Callithrix jacchus: one gene and its partner. Each later gene encodes a partner of the first gene's protein in a complex. Links are inferred from orthologs where the notes say so. Each region holds a gene or a part of one and is shown on either strand. Other genes may lie near its edges.

What was found. The genes of interacting proteins can lie anywhere in the genome.
Region 2: TCTN1 (region 1) and B9D2 share a complex: the UniProt entries of both Homo sapiens proteins name them as parts of the tectonic-like complex. The link is inferred for Callithrix jacchus from reciprocal best matches to the Homo sapiens genes TCTN1 and B9D2.

The regions. Positions count from the first base shown.
Region 1 is NC_133510.1:113,537,192-113,544,676, forward strand, and holds part of TCTN1 (tectonic-1), read left to right. Parts: intron 1-3,581; coding exon 3,582-3,716; intron 3,717-4,229; coding exon 4,230-4,355; intron 4,356-4,746; coding exon 4,747-4,832; intron 4,833-5,462; coding exon 5,463-5,603; intron 5,604-7,485. UniProt on the Homo sapiens protein: Component of the tectonic-like complex, a complex localized at the transition zone of primary cilia and acting as a barrier that prevents diffusion of transmembrane proteins between the cilia and plasma membranes.
Region 2 is NC_133523.1:36,640,119-36,648,196, reverse strand, and holds the start of B9D2 (B9 domain-containing protein 2), read left to right. Parts: upstream 1-4,037; 5' UTR 4,038-4,233; intron 4,234-4,333; 5' UTR 4,334-4,337; coding exon of another isoform or gene 4,338-4,425; intron 4,426-4,783; 5' UTR 4,784-4,796; coding exon 4,797-4,890; intron 4,891-8,074; coding exon 8,075-8,078. UniProt on the Homo sapiens protein: Component of the tectonic-like complex, a complex localized at the transition zone of primary cilia and acting as a barrier that prevents diffusion of transmembrane proteins between the cilia and plasma membranes.

The DNA of each region.
Region 1 (7,485 bases):
CTTCATTGATGCTCTGGACACAAATGGGTGTGAGGGAAATGTTTGAAAGGGGTTGGAGGGAGGTGAGAGCTAGCCTATTGCATAACTTTCAGACTGCATCCCTGGGAGCCCTAGGGTTCCATGTGACTTTGGATCTCACATGATGGTGTGTGGGGCTGGATCCCCTCTTCTGTGAAGGTGTTTTCAAACTTGTTTTAGTTATAGAAACCCTTTCTCAAATGCAGTCTGAAGCAGAAACCTCCCTAGAGTATAACAGACTGAATCTGAAGCTGTGCTGGTTAGAGCAGGGAAGGGGCCTGAAGCCTTCCACCTGCCCAGCCTCCTCCTCTCTCCTCTTTGTTCCTAGTGAAGAACGCTAGGGCTCCCGGGAATGCAGTCTGAAAGTTATGCAATGGGCTAGCTCTCACCTCCCTCCAACCCCTAGAGAGTGCTTGGATTCTACCATTCAAAACTGGAACCATCTGTGGGGGCAGCAGCCCATCAGCCTTATTCATGATATATCCTTATTTCTAAGGCAGCGTCCAGTATGTACTGGGCACTCAGTGAGTTATGCATTTAGTGATGAATGTCCAGGAGGCACTGTTCTAAGTGCTGTATGTGTCTGATGTCTTCAAATCCTTTTGGCAGTCTTAGGAGGTAGGTTCAGTTACTGTCACTCTCTGGCAGATGAGTCACAGGGAGATGAATGAGCTTGCCCACGGCTGCACAGCTGGGAAGTGGCAGAGCTGGGACGGGGATCCAGGCGGTCTGGCCCCAGGGACCTTATACTTTTCCACCATGCTGGGTCAGCTCTACTCTGTGAGCCCACGTGACAGGCTTCACACACCTTCCTTCTTTGCATCCTGTGGCCACACAGGATATGGCAGATTGGAACTTGGACTTCCAACTTACGTCTGTGTGACACCAAAGATTGTGCTCTAAAGGACAAGCATATAAACTAATCGTAGGGATTTGTTTGAAATTTTCTTAAAAAGCAGATTTTAAGGTTAGAGGATCAGGAGTATAGAAATTGGGTCTAATCTTGCCACTAAGTGAAGACTGTTATGATTGCCTGGAATCATTGTCAGTCTCTGTGGAGCCATCAGCGAAAGATTCCAGGGTAGCCCTGTAGTTTCGTTGAGTATTCTGGAGTTCTTTACTCGTGTGTGGTTTAGGGATGGGATGTGATGGAAGAGGAATCAAGGAAATCAGCATGGCCCTACCGTTTCCTTCTCGTGACTATTGAGTGAGCTGTTGAGATGAGGGCAGCTCTTGCCATTGACACCAGGACTTTCCAGACCTCTTTGACATGGAATCCTTCGATTTTTGCCAATTCCACCCACATACCATAGAAGTAGCTCTGGCAGAGCTTGGTATGGTAGGGTATGCTCTACCCTGGAACCTAGTGTCATTGCTGAATCAAGAACCACTATGCTCAGAGTAAGGAACCCGGGGTTGCCCTTGTGTTAAACAAGAGCTAATTGAATCGCAGCCTAGGACCTTCTCCATGCTGAAACCTCTTGGTGTGGTGTGTTATGCAGAGGACTTCATGGTGACTGGCAAGGCCCTTCTGCCACTCTCATCACATGACAGCTTACGTCTTTGTTACTGAGTCATGTCACATTCTTTTTTTTTTTTGAGATGGAGTCTTGCTTTATCACCAGGCTGAAGTGCAGTGGTGCGATCTCAGCTCACTGCAACCTCCAACTCCCTGGTTCAAGCAATTCTCCTGCCTCAGCCTCCTGAGTAGCTGGGATTACAGATGTGTCACCACGCCCAGCTAATTTTTGTATTTTTAGTAGAGATGGGGTTTCACCATGTTGGCCAGGATGGTCTTGATCTCTTGACCTCATGATCCACCTGCCTCTGCTTCCCAAAGTGCTGGGATTACAGACAATGAGCCACTGTGTCCGGCCATGTTATGTTCTTCTATGAGAGGGTTTGACTCTCAGGTCTTCTTGGTCATGGGAGCAGACACATAAGGACTGTTTATTTATCTCTAAAATGACTGCCTAAATACTTGGTCATTTTGAATTATAAACAGCATGGTGCATGATTGAGTACAAGTTCAAAGTGGTATAAACAACTGTTAATAGATACATGAGGTTCCTTCCTCAACAGTGGTTTCCAAGAATTGAAGTTTAGAGCAAATGACAGATTCATCCTATAGTACAAGGAGGCCCAGCTACCTTTATTTATTTATTTTTTTGAGACGGAGTTTTGCTCTTGTTACCCAGGTTGGAGTGCAATGGCGTGATCTCGGCTCACTGCAACCTCCGCCTCCTGGGTTCAGGCAATTCTCCTGCCTCAGCCTCCCAAGTAGCTAGGATTACAGGCACGTGCCACCATGCCCAGCTATTTTTTTGTATTTTTAGTAGAGACGGGGTCTCACCATGTTGACCAAGCTGGTCTCGAGCTCTTGACCTCATGATCCACCCGCCTCGGCCTCCCAAAGTGCTGGGATTACAGGCTTGAGCCACTGCGCCCGGCTTCCAGCTACCTTTAGAGGATGGCTTGATGCTTTGTTACTCTGCTGGCGGTGGCCATGAATGCAAAATATCCTTTAATAGCACTGGGATAAGCAGGGATTCCTGGTGCTGCTGAAAAGATTTGTCTGTCTCTGTTTTCTCTTGCTTATAATCCCACCACCCAGAGAAACCACTGTGTGTGTGTGTGTGTGTGTGTGTGTGTGTGTGTGTGTGTGTGTGCGCGCGCGCGCCCGCACATGTATGTATGTGTAGAAGTTGGGTATAAATTGGGTCAAATGAATATTCGGGGGTATGTGGAGGCTTAAGGATATGTGTCCTGGGACTGTGTGTGAATGTGCATGTGTGGGTATGGAGTATGTAGGAGTTGTGTTTGGAGGTGAGGATATATATATGCACTTGACAGTGTGATGGAGTTGTGTGTGTGTGTGTATGCAATTCTGTGGTTTTTAGTATAGTCACAGGTTGTACAACCATCGCCACTAATTGCAGAACATTTCCGTCACCCCAAAAAGGAGCCCTGTGTTAGCAGTCACTCCTCATTCTTCCCCAGCTCTGTCCCCAGCCCCTGGCAACCACTAATCTACTTTTCATCGCTATGGGTTTGCCTATTTGGACATTCCATATAAGTGGCATTAGATGTGTGGCCTTTCGTGTCTGGCTTCTGTGACTTAGCATGTTGTCAAGACTCATCTATACCGTGGCGTGTATTAGTACTGTTTTTGTGGATGAGACATATTCCTTTGTAAGGCTAGGCTTTGTACTTATCCATTCATCAGTTGATGGACATTTAAGTCGTTTTCGGTTTTAGCTATTATGATAGTGCAGCTGTGAACATTTGTGTACAAGTTTTTGTGTAAACTTTATGTTTTCAGAGGCAACTGCTTTTAAAGTTTTGGTTATATCTTCTCAAGTATTTTCTTTGTGAATGTATGTATGTTTTTACCTACAAATACCTACTTTCGCAAATGTGGGATCATGGTATACACACTATCGTGTAGCATGCTTCCCTCCACTTGGCCGTATATCAGGGAAGGGTTGTTTCCAGTTGGTTGTGATTTTAGCTCTTTCTCCCTGGATAAAGCATCTTCAGTACTCCAGGTCTTCACTCTGCAGGTACCTATCACTGTTCAGTCCGTTGTCATTCAGTCTCTAAATAAAACGCTCACCCGTCGGGAAGACACTGATGTGCTGCAGCCGGCTCTCGTCAACGCTGGACACTTTAGCCTTTGCATGAATGTTGTGCTTGAGGTAGGTGCCGAATTTGGCTTTGAGAGCTTGTCTGTGACGGACTCAAGCCTCATGTTCCACTGGGGTAACTGGATGCCCTCCGAGGGCGCTCTGTCCTGGCCTGTGATTTGGCTTTTCCTGGCTTGGCTGCCTGCTTGCCTTTTTGTTCTCTCATCAAAAGATGCCTCTTGTCTCCACAAACCTAGTGACTTGCAGGAATACATCAAAATGTTGTTGTCGTTGCTGTTTTTGTTTTAACATGTTTCCTCTGCAGAGATGGACTTATTACATTCTGCTTAGACCAGCTTACATGGAACTTCTGTAATTGGGCACAGTGTGGCTCAGATGACCCTGTCTGCTAAGGGTGGTGCTGAGGGAACCACTTCTCATAATCCAACTGGACAGCAGAGCAAAGCTTCAACACATGGAGAAATGGGGAAAGATTTGCTGCCTATGGGTGTTTTATTTGAGTTATTCATAAAGTTACTGAAATGTCATGGAACAGGTATATTTGGAGGATTGTTTTGTTTTTAGGTAAAATACAGCCTCACATACACAGATGCAGGTGAAGTCATCAAAGCCGATCTCTCTTTACTTCTGGGGACAGTTAGCAGTGTAATGGTTCCACTGCAGCAAAAGTTTGAAATTCATTTTCTTCAGGTAAGGTTGATCAAGCTGGCATAAATATTTAATTGTCAAGTTAAAAAAAAATGACTTCTTAGTGGATAAAAATGAATTTCTGAGTATTACACCCAAGCCTTTGTAGTGCACAGAGGGCTTTGTGTAGCCTGTGGTGTTTGCAGTGAAACCAAGCATCCTCCTTGTATCTTTTTCCCTTTTGGGAATAGATTCCCTTCCACGTTAGCTTGTTCTTTTACAGTATGATATACTCCTACACCTGGCAGATGTATTTATAGTTCTGAGTAGGGAGGGAGAAATACTTTTATTGGTGGGTAATTCCAGATTTTATTATAAAAAAAACCATTTGTCTCCCTGCTATTTCCTTATTGAAATGAGAATTATTTGGAGGCATTTCTGCATTGCCTTTCAGGAAAATACCAAGCCGGTCCCTCTCAGTGGAAACCCTGGTTATGTCATGGGGCTCCCGTTAGCTGCTGGATTCCAGCCTCATAAGGGATATCCTTTTTGGTTCTGTAGAGGGTGAATTTATTCCTGTCTCCATGTGTGTGGGCTGCACTGCTCTTTCTCACTGAGGCTCCCCTGGGCTGCTTGTGGGATGGAGAGAGCAGCCCCGGCGAGCTTCCTGCAGGCAGGAAGGTGGGCGGCCAGTCTGGCTACACAGCAGGTGGGCTAGGGAGAGACTGGCAGTTGGGGGTGAGATAGCATGTCCTAGGAAAATGTCAGTGGTGTTTTTATTGTAAATCTCGTTTTCTTTTCCCAGCCTGCCATTAAGCTACAAAATATGTCAGTGTTTTACAACGAAAATCTTAAGAGAGAAAAGTTGACATTTAAACGTTTTTAATTTCACATTTAAACAGACACTCCTAAACAAATTTAGTGATTTTGAAAATTTAGAATTTCGAAGGGCCAGTTTCTGAGAATTTTTCTTCTGAGAATCTACTTAGTAAGGAAAATAGAGCTATTTTTTTTGCTCACTCCTGGGAAATAGCTGTCAAAATCCCAGAGGCCCAGAAAAAGGGTATGTAGGTCTCCTTCATGTCTCATGTCACACAAACGACAACGTCTTCTTACCTGAGAACCAGGCTGCTCTAGCACTAGGTAGTTGTCCCTTAACTGTCTGTGAATGTCTGGAATTATTCAGATCACAAATAGATATGGACAGCTTACTATTCTTCATAGCACAACTGAGCAAGACTGCTTAGCACTGGAGGGGGTCCGGACCCCAGTATTATTTGGTTACGCTATGCAATCTGGCTGTAAACTAAGGTAAGAGAGTCGCTGGCTTCTATTTGAACATGTTTGTGTTGATCAGAAAACAGGGCATTCTTACTTTTCCCCATTTTAATCAAATCTCTGCATCAACTGATGAGCTCATCTGCAAGCTGCACATGTAGTATATCATCATTCATGAATAGTAGCAAAACTATCACAGTCATTTTCATTATCAAATATGGCAAAGCAGAAATTTCAAGGCTTTGTATGTTTCTTTTTTTTTTTTTTTTGAGATGGAGTCTCGCTTTGTTGCCCAGGCTGGAGTTCAATGGTGTGATCTCTGCTCACTGCAACCTCCGCCTCCCGGGTTCAAGTGATTCTCTCACCTCAGCCTCCCAAGTAGCTGAGGTTACAGGCACCTGCCATCATGCCTGGCTAATTTTTGTCTTTTTAGTTGAGATGGGGTTTCACCATGTTGAAACTGGTCTCAAACTCCTAACCTCAGGTGATCTGCCCGCCTCTGCCTCTCAAAGTGCTGGGATTACAGGTGTAAGCCACCTTGCCTGGCCTTTTTTTTTTTTTTTTTAGAGATGGGGTCTTGTTCTGTCACCCAGACTGGAGTGCAGTGGCACAATTTTGGCTCACTGCAACCTCTGCCTCCTGGTAATCGCCAGCCGGGATTACAGGTGCCCACCACCATGGCTGGCTAATTTTTGTATTTTTAGTAGAGACGGGGTTTCACCATGTTGGCCAGGCTGGTCTCGAACTCCTGACCTCAGGTTATCCACCTGCTTTGGCCTCCCAAAGTGCTGGGATTCCAGGTGTGAGCCACTGTGCCTGGCCTATGTGTTTCATTTTTAAGATTGTTCAGCATTTGAGTTTGTAGCAAAAATATTTCCCCGGAAAGTCTTTTATGTTTCTGAATTTTAATATACACAGCGCATCAAAACCAGTGAGAGGAAGCCTGAATATAACCTGTTTTTCATTTATCTTATTATTAAATAGGTACATAATGTAAAATATCAAATAGCACTGCATGGCTTGTTATGAACACAGTTCTTACCCTCATTTGCCCTCCTTTGGAGGCAACCATTTTCAACTCTTGTAGCTATTTTTTTCAAAATCTACCCCCAAATCTTGAAATAACCTACATATAATGCTACTTCTTGATTTTTTGGTCTTAAGAATTTTTTATTGAATTTTCCATCAAAGAAGACAAAGGTTTGGCTCTTTCCCCTTTATCCCCTACCCCATGACCCACACACTTCCTGCATCTTCCCAGGAATATCTGGTGAGACCAGTATTTACCATTTACTTTTTTTTTTTTTTGAGACAGGGTCTCCCTCTGTTGCCCAGGCTAGAATGCAGCGGTGTGATCAGGCTCACTGCATTCTTCGCCTACAGGCTCAAGCAATCCTCCTGTCTCAGCCTCCTGAATAGCTGGAACCACATATGGGTACCACCACACCTGGCTAATTTTTTAAATTTTAGTAGAGATGAGGTCTCCTTATGTCTCCTGACTGGTCTTGAACTCCTGGGCCCAAGTGCTTCTCTTGCCTCAGCTTCCCAAAGTGTTGGATTACAGGTGTGAGCCACCACATCCAGCCACCATTTACATTATTAGTTCTGATCAATTTAGACCAGCATTTCTCAAAGGGAGGGGGTTCCATGGAATACATTTCCACAAGATGTCAGTAGGAGTAGGTCTATGGTCCAATATGTTTGGGAAACACCAAATTAAAGTTAACATAATGGTTCCTTCTGTAGTACTCATCAGAGCCTTTAATAGGCAAATGTGCCTCAGGAGAGACATGGGGACATGGAGGTTCAGTGCTTCCCCAACTTTGGCCATGAAACTCTTCTTGTACAAAACTTCAGTGGAACACAGTTTGGGAAACATTGTTTTAGACTCATCATCTCACAGGTCAAGATTTTG
Region 2 (8,078 bases), on another chromosome or scaffold:
CTTCTGGCCTTTGGGCCTCTCAAAGTGCTGGGATTAAAGGCATGATCCACCAGGTCTGGCCAACTTTTGATAATGTGAAGTTAGATCATTCAAACATTAAAGCTGTTGGAACTTTAAATAATTTATTCTGAGCCTTGAGAGGAATGTTGCTATGTAGCCTGAGTCACGTAGCATGCAGTTACAACTTCTGCTTTTTCCTGTAACTGATTAAGAATGACCAAGCAGTACCAGAGATAAGATCACCTCAGAACATTGCCCCTAGCCCAGGCGCTGTGGCCTCACACTTATAATCCCAGCACTTTGGGAGGCAAAGTGGGAGGATCACTTGAGCCCAGGAGTTTGAGACAAGCCTGGGCAACATAGTGAGACCACATTTCTACAGAAAAATATACTAATATATTAACAAATTAGCTGGGCATGGTGGCACATGCCTGTAGTCCCAGCTACTGGTGAGGCTGAGGTGGGAGGCTTGAGCCTGGGAGTTCGAGGCTGCAGTGAGCTGTGATTGTGCCACTGCAGTTCCGCCTGGATAATAGAGCAAGATCTTATCTCAAGAAAAAAGAAAGAATGAATATTCCTCCTCCTCACAGAATGTGAACGCAATCTTCCTTGCAGCCTAGCAGGCTAATGAAACTGCTGTTAACATACATACTGGCCTTGTAGCCTGGAATAAATTCTATAGTTAATCATATTTTCTTTTTTTTTCCTTTTTGAGACTGGGAGTCTTGCTCTGTCATCCAGGCTGGAGTGCAGTGGGGCAATCTCTGCTCACCACAACCGCCACCTCCCAGGTTCAAGTGATTCTCCTGCCTCAGCTTCCAAAGTAGCTGAGATTACAGGCGTGTGTCAGCACGCCCAAGCTAGTTTTTGTATTTTTTAGTAGAGATAGGCTTTCACTATATGTCGGCCAGGCTGGTCTGGAATCCCTGACCTTCACCTGCCTCAGCCTCCCAAAGTGCTGGGATTACAGGCATGAACCAGTGAACCTGGCCTTAATCAGATTTTCTGAATCTCATTATTTATGGTGGACAATAATTTTTTTTCTTTTATTTAACATGGATACATGGGAGCCTTCGGAATGAAGACCCCAGCCAGGCCCGGTGGCTCGTGCCTATAATCCCAGCACTTTGGAAGGCCAAGGTGAGCGGATCACCTGAGGTCAGCAGTTTGAGACCAGCCTGGCCAACATGGTGAAACCCCATCTCTACTAAAAATACAAAAATTAGGTAGGAGGTGTAAGCCACGTTGTGCAGAGCCTTGGGATACGTGGGAAGACTTTGGCTTCTGCCCTGAGTGAAATGGGGACCACTGGAGGGGTCTGAGCAGATGGGACCTGACTTAGCTGTTCACAGGGTCCCAGCTGCATGCAGGATACAGACTAGGTGGGCTGGGGAAGGGGGTCCCAGAGACAAGGTTCCTGTCATAGTCCAGGTGAGAGATGAACTTGGACAGATGAAGGTACTGGGTGAGATAGAGGTGAGAAGAGAAGTGGGGGGATTTAGGATGTATTTCTTTCATTCTCTTTTTTTTTTATTTTGAGACGGAGTTTCTCTCTTGTTGCCCAGGCTGGAGTGTAATGGCTCAATCTCAGTTCAGCGAAAACTCCGCCTCTCAGCTTCAAGCAATTCTCCTGCCTCAGCCTCCGAGTAGCTGGGATTACAGGTGCATACCACCACGCCCAGCTAATTTTTGTATTTTCAGTAGAGACAGGGTTTCACCATTTTGGCCAGGCTTGTCTCGAACTGCTGACCTCATGATCCGCCCACCTAGGCCTCCCAAAGTGCTGGGATTATAGGCGTGAGCCACCACTTCTGGCCAAGATCTTTTGTTTGTTTGTTTCCCCAGCTCCAGCTTAAAGGAAAGAAACATCATTTAAAAGTGAAATTTCAGCTGGGTGCAGTGGCTCACTCCAGCTTGGGCAACAGAGCAAGACTCTGTCTCAAAAAAAATACAATAAGTCGCTGGGGCCGAGAAAGGTGTCTGATGCCCGTAATCCCAGCACTTTGGGAGGCTGAGGCAGACAAATCACAAGGCCAGGAGTTCAAGAGGAGCCTGGTCAACATGGTGAAATTCCATCTCTACTGAAAATACAAACATTAGCCAGGCATAGTGGTGGGCACCTGTAATCCCAGCTACTCAGGAGGCTGAGACAGAAGAATCGCTTGAACCTGTTAGGTAGAGATTGCAGTGAGCTGAAATTACGCCATTGCACTCCAGCCTGGGTGACAGCGGGAGAGTCTGCCTCAAAAAAAAAAAAAAAAAATACCCAAACAACAACAACAAAAACAAAATTATAAGGAAGGGGCAACATTTCAATAGGATAACATTTATATTAAACAATTCAATGGACTATTTCACTAGCAGATATACGCGTTAATTTTTGTAGGGATGGGGTCTTGCTATATTTGAACTTCTGGCCTCAAGAGCTCTTCTTGCCTCAGCCTTCAAAAGGGCTGAGATTACAGGCATGAGCCACTGCGCCTAGCCAATGGTAGCTTTTAAATACTTGTATCTATTGGCCAGGCTGGGTGGCTCAGTCTGTAATCCCAACAGTTTGGGAGGGCAAACTGGGAGGACTGCTAGAGTCCAGGAGGTCAAGACAAGACTGGGCAACACAGCAAGACTCCATCTGTGTTTTTTTTTTGAGACGGAGTCTCGCTCTGTACCCCAGGCTGGAGTGCAGTGGCGCGATCTCGGCTCACTGCAACCTCTGCCTCCTGGGTCCCGGTTCAAGCAATTCTCCTGCCTCAGCCTCCCGACTAGCTGGGATTACAGGCCTGAGCCACCGTGCCCGGCAAGACTCCCTCTCTTAAAAAAAAATAAAAAAGAATTAGCCAGCTGTGATTGCGTATGTCTGTGATCCCAGCTACTGGGAGGCTGAGGCAGGAGGACCCCTTGAACTCAGAAGTTAAGAGGTTGCAGTGAGCTGTGATGGAGCCACCGTACTCCAGCTTGGGTGACAGAGACCCTTTGATGGGACCTGATGACTGGCTGGATGCGGGAAATGATGGCATCTAGGATGGCATCTAGGATGGCATCCAGGCATAACATCTCCATTTCTTTATTGAAAAATCAATAGGAAAGAGGATTTTCTGCAAATAAGGGGATCTAAGTTCCTCATTTCTCCTCGCTATCCCAACGGCTCCTTGCTCGGAATCAAGCAGTAACAGTGAACTAGGTAGTAGTTCCGAGAAGGACGTTGGACTTATCAGACCTTGAGAAGCCTAGAGGAACTCTTAAAACGGAAATGGAACCCACTTCCCAACTTCTCCACTCTCAGAATGAGGATTTTTTTTTGCTTTGTTTTCCAGTTACAAGGCAGGGGATGTACAAGAGGTCCTAGAAGGAATTCCCCCTTGGTCCTGGCTCAAGTCTCTGATTTGTGATCCCAGACCATAGAGAGCTCTTAGGTGGGTTGGAGCAAGGAGGGGTGGGCGGAGCACGAAGCGGTGAGGGATCAGCTTTTTTGGTAAAGACTATAGCTAGGAGAAACTACACTCAAACTTCCTCAGCCACACTCAAGATGGCAGCTTTCTCGCCACGCCCAAAATGGCGGAATCCTTTGCCGCGGCTGGAGGGATGCTATTTTCCCAAAACGGAGCGAGAAGAGGAAAATGTCCATCATAGCTTCACCCGACCCCACCCTCCCCCCCAACCCCCGAACGGCTAGCACCAATCAGTGGCGCGCAGGGCGGGTACAAAGCCAGGGGAGGAGCCTGCTGTTGCCCCAGCAACAACCAGGGAACCGAAGACGAGCGCGACCGCAGAAATATTGCGGCTTCCATCTCTCGCAGACAGGAAGGTCTTGGGAGAGGCGCGAGCCAAGCCCGGTCGGCGCCCGCAGAGAAAAGGACAAGTCAAACCCACGAACTACAAACCTCGTTACCGCGTTCGCGTCTCCTAACCGTTAAGGGCGCCAAGGTAGGAATAACGCATGCGCGATGCCTAGAGGCGGGGCTAAGGCGGCCATGAACTCATAACGCATGCGCCTTATGGAGCTGGGGGGGGTGGTCGGGGGAGGCGGGGATTTTGCGCTCGTGGGCGGGGCCTTCAGCGGAATTGAACCCAAAGAAGTTATTTTAGACTTTGCAGAATTAAATACTGGCTCCCCAGACAAGGGTTCCCTCATTTTTTCCAGGCTTTCCTGCGTTGCCAATTAGCATCTGTGGCCAAGACGTCAGCCCCAGGGGTTTGACGAAGGTAGCTTGGAATCCTAGTACTACCGTTTATCTGGTGAGGCTCAGTTCCCCGCTCCCTCGGCGCCCCCCCCTCCCCCATCAAATGGAGATAATACACTCACCTCACAGGGTTGTGATTATATTTTTACTCCCAGGGCCATGGCTGAGGTGCATGTGATCGGGCAGATCATGGGGGCCAGCGGTTTCTCGGAAAGTAGCCTCTTCTGCAAGTGGGGCATCCACACAGGTATCCCCCCCCAGGGCCTGGTTCATTTCCACACCAAGACCCTTAGCCTAGAGGCTGCACGCTCCTTCCTCGACCCCTTAATGTAGCGTCTTAACCTCATCTTCCATCAGCTCTGAGTACTCCAGTCCCAGCCCACACCCTGTCCACCTGAGTCTCAAGCTCTTGTCTTTTTTTGGAGGGGAGTGGGGACAGACAGGCTCTTTCTCTGTCGCCCAAGCTGGAGGAAGGTGGTGTGATTATAGCTCACTGCAGCTTCCAACTCTCGGGCTCTAGTGATCCTCTCACCTTAGCCTCCTGAGAAGCTCGAACTACAGGCATGCACCACCAAGTCTGGCTAATATTTTTATTTTTTGTACAGACAGGGACTTGCTATGTTGCCCAGGCTGGTCTTGAACTCCTGGGCCCAAGCAATCCACCCACCTCCGCCTCCCAAAGTGCTGGGATTACTGAGTCATCATGCCCCAGGTAAGTCGTTTTTTTCATGCTTCCCCAGCTGAGACCCTGTAGAGTCATGGTATAGTGTAATGGTTAGGTCCATGGACTGCCAGATCTGGTTTTAAATACTGACTCCCCACCTATTAATTGGAGATCTTTGGACTTGACCTCTTTGAGCCTCAGTTTCCTTGTCTGAAAGTGAAGCTGATAGCAGCTAAGAAGCAGCACAGGGTTGAGGTTAAAAGCATAGACTGCCTGGGTTCAAAACCAGTTATTGCTTGTTAATGCAACCTTGGCCTAGGGGAGGTTGAAGTGGGCAGATCACTTGAGGTCAGAAGTTCAAGACCAGCCTGGCCAACATGGTAAAACCCCGTCTCTACTAAAAATACAGAAGAATTACCTGGTCATGGTGGCTGGTGCCTGTAATTTCAGCTACTCAGGAGGCTGAGGCAGGAGAATCACTTGCACCTGGAAAGCAGAGGTTACAGTGAGCTGAGATCCTGCCTCTGCACTCCAGCCTGGGTGATGGAGCGAGACTCTCTCAAAAATAAATAAATAAAAGAAATGAGTGCAGTTGGGCATGGTGACTCACCCCATCCCAGAACTTTGGGAGGCTGAGTTAGAAGGATCAGTTGAGCTCAGGAGTTTGAGACCAGCCTGGGCAACATAGGGAAACCCCTGTCTCTACAAAAAATAAAAAAGTAGCAGGGCATGATGGTACATGCCTGTGGTCCCAACAACTTGGGAGGTTGAGGTGGGAGGATTGCTTGAGCCTGGGAGGTTGAGGCCATAGTGAGCTGTGATTGTGCCACTGCACTCCACAGAGGGAGACTTTGTCTCCAAATTAAAAAAAAAAGAGGCCAGACGCAGTGGCTCATGCCTGTAATCCCAGCACTTTGGGAGGCTGATGCGGGCAGATCATGAGGTCAGGAGTTTGAAGTTCGAGACAGGGTGAGACTCTCAAAAAAAAAAAAAAGGAACACCGTGATTACAGACAGTGGTAAGTGCTAGGATGAAAAAAATGATGTGACAGGGACCTGTGTTTGGAGAAGAGGGACAGGGAGTACTCCTCTGTGGAAGTGGCATGTGAGCTGAGCCCTGAAGGATGAAAACAAGCTAGGGATGGGGACACCCAGGAGCAGAGCTTTCTAGGCAGGGGGAACAGCAAGTGCGACGGCCCTGAGGTGGGGAGACAGAAGTGGGACCAGTGAGGCCTGAGGGTGATGAGGGCGGGGGAGAGTGATGGGAGATGAACTCCGGGAGGGGAGCAAGAGCCAGGCCATTTAGGCCATGGTGGAGAGTCTGTAAACTAGGGGGTGAGGAGGGGATGAAGAATCCTATAGGGTCGATTAAAGGAATGCATCGCCTAAAGTGCTTAGCAGAGCATATACAATTTGGTAAGTATTCAGTGCATTTTTCTTTTTTTCCTACTTCTTTTTTTGAGACAAGAGTTTTACTCTGTTGCCCAGACTGGAGTGCAATGGCATGATCTCGGCTCACTGCAACCTCTGCCGCCTGGGTTCAAGCGATTCTCCTGCCTCCGCCTCCTGAGTAGCTGGGAATACAGTCACACACCGCCACACCCAGCTAATTTTTGTATTTTTGGTAGAGACGTGGTTTCACCATGTTGGTCAGGCTGGTTTCAAACTCCTGACCTCATGGTCTGCCTGCCTCGAGCTCCTAAAGTGCTGAGATTACAGGCATGAGCCAGCGCGCCCCGCCACTCGGTGCATTTTAACTATCATCACCCCTTAGTAGCATCTAAATTGTTACATGTGCTTAGGATGTGCTTCTGGAGGGTATCCTTGGACTAGGCTTGTGAATGTGGGGTGAGAATAGTAAGATGATATTGAGGGCCGGGTGTGGTGGCTCACGCCTGTAATCCCAGCACTTTGGGAAGCCAAGGTGGGTGGATCACAAGGTCAAGAGATCGGGACCATCCTGGTCAACATGGTGAAACCCCGTCTCTACTAAAAATACAAAAAATTAGCTGGGCATGGTGGCGTGTGCCTGTAATCCCAGCTACTCAGGAGGCTGAGGCAGGAGAATTGCCTGAACCCAGGAGGCGGAGGTTGCGGTGAGCCGAGATCACGCCATTGCACTCTAGCCTGGGTAACGAGAGCAAAACTCCGTCTCAAAAAAAAAAAAAAAAAAAAGATGATATTGAAGCCTTATCCCACATTCACCATGCCCCCTGCAGTGTTCCAAGGGCTTTATATTAATTCACTTAATTGTCTCACCAAACTATGAGTGCTGTGGTTTGAATGTGTGTTCCCTCCAAAACGCACGTTGAATGAGTTGAATCCCCAATGTGGCAGTATTAAGAGGTAGGGCCTTTAAGAGGTGATTCATCCCTTCAGAACCCCCATGAATGGATGAATCTGTTCATGGATTAATGGGTTAATGGATGACTTCGTTATCATGGGAGAGGAACTGGTGGCTTTGTATAAAATGAGAAAGAGAAACCTGAGTGGCATGTTGACACACTAGCCTTGGGAATCTTCGGAGAGTCCCCCCAGCAAGAAGGCTCTTACCAGATGGGACCCCTCCACCTCAGTCAATCTCCCATAATTGTGAGATAGAAATTCCTTTTCTTTATAAATTACCCAGTTTTGGATATTATGTTACGAGTAACAGAAAACAGGCGGGGTGCGGTAGGCTGGGTGTGGTGGCTCACTCCTGTAATCCCAGCACTTTGGGAGGCCAAGGCGGGCGGAACACGAGGTCAGGAGATCGAGACCATTCTGGCCAACAAAGTGAAACGCCATCTCTACTAAAAATGCAAAAATTAGCTGGGTGTGTGGTGTGTGCCTATAGTCCCAGCTACTCGGGAGGCTGAGGCAGGAGAATCACTTGAACCTGGGAGGTGGAGGTTGCAGTGAGCCGAGTTTGTGCCACTGCACTCCAGCCTGGTAACAGAGCGAGATTCTGCCTCAAAAAAAAAAAAAAGAAAACAAGTGAAGACAATGAGGATTGCATTATTACTCACGCATTTTACAGATGCGAAGACTAAGGCAGAGAAAGGTAACTTGCCTAAGGTTGCACAGGCAGGAAGAAGTAATGCCAGGATTTGAACCCAGATATTTGGCTCCAGAGTTCATGCTTCGTAAGCCCTACGAGCAGATGCCACAGAGATACACAGTCCTGTAGCCACGGCAGCATCCCCTTCCCATAGGCTGCCTCCCACCCCTCTGTGTCCTGGCTCTCATTGCAGGGGC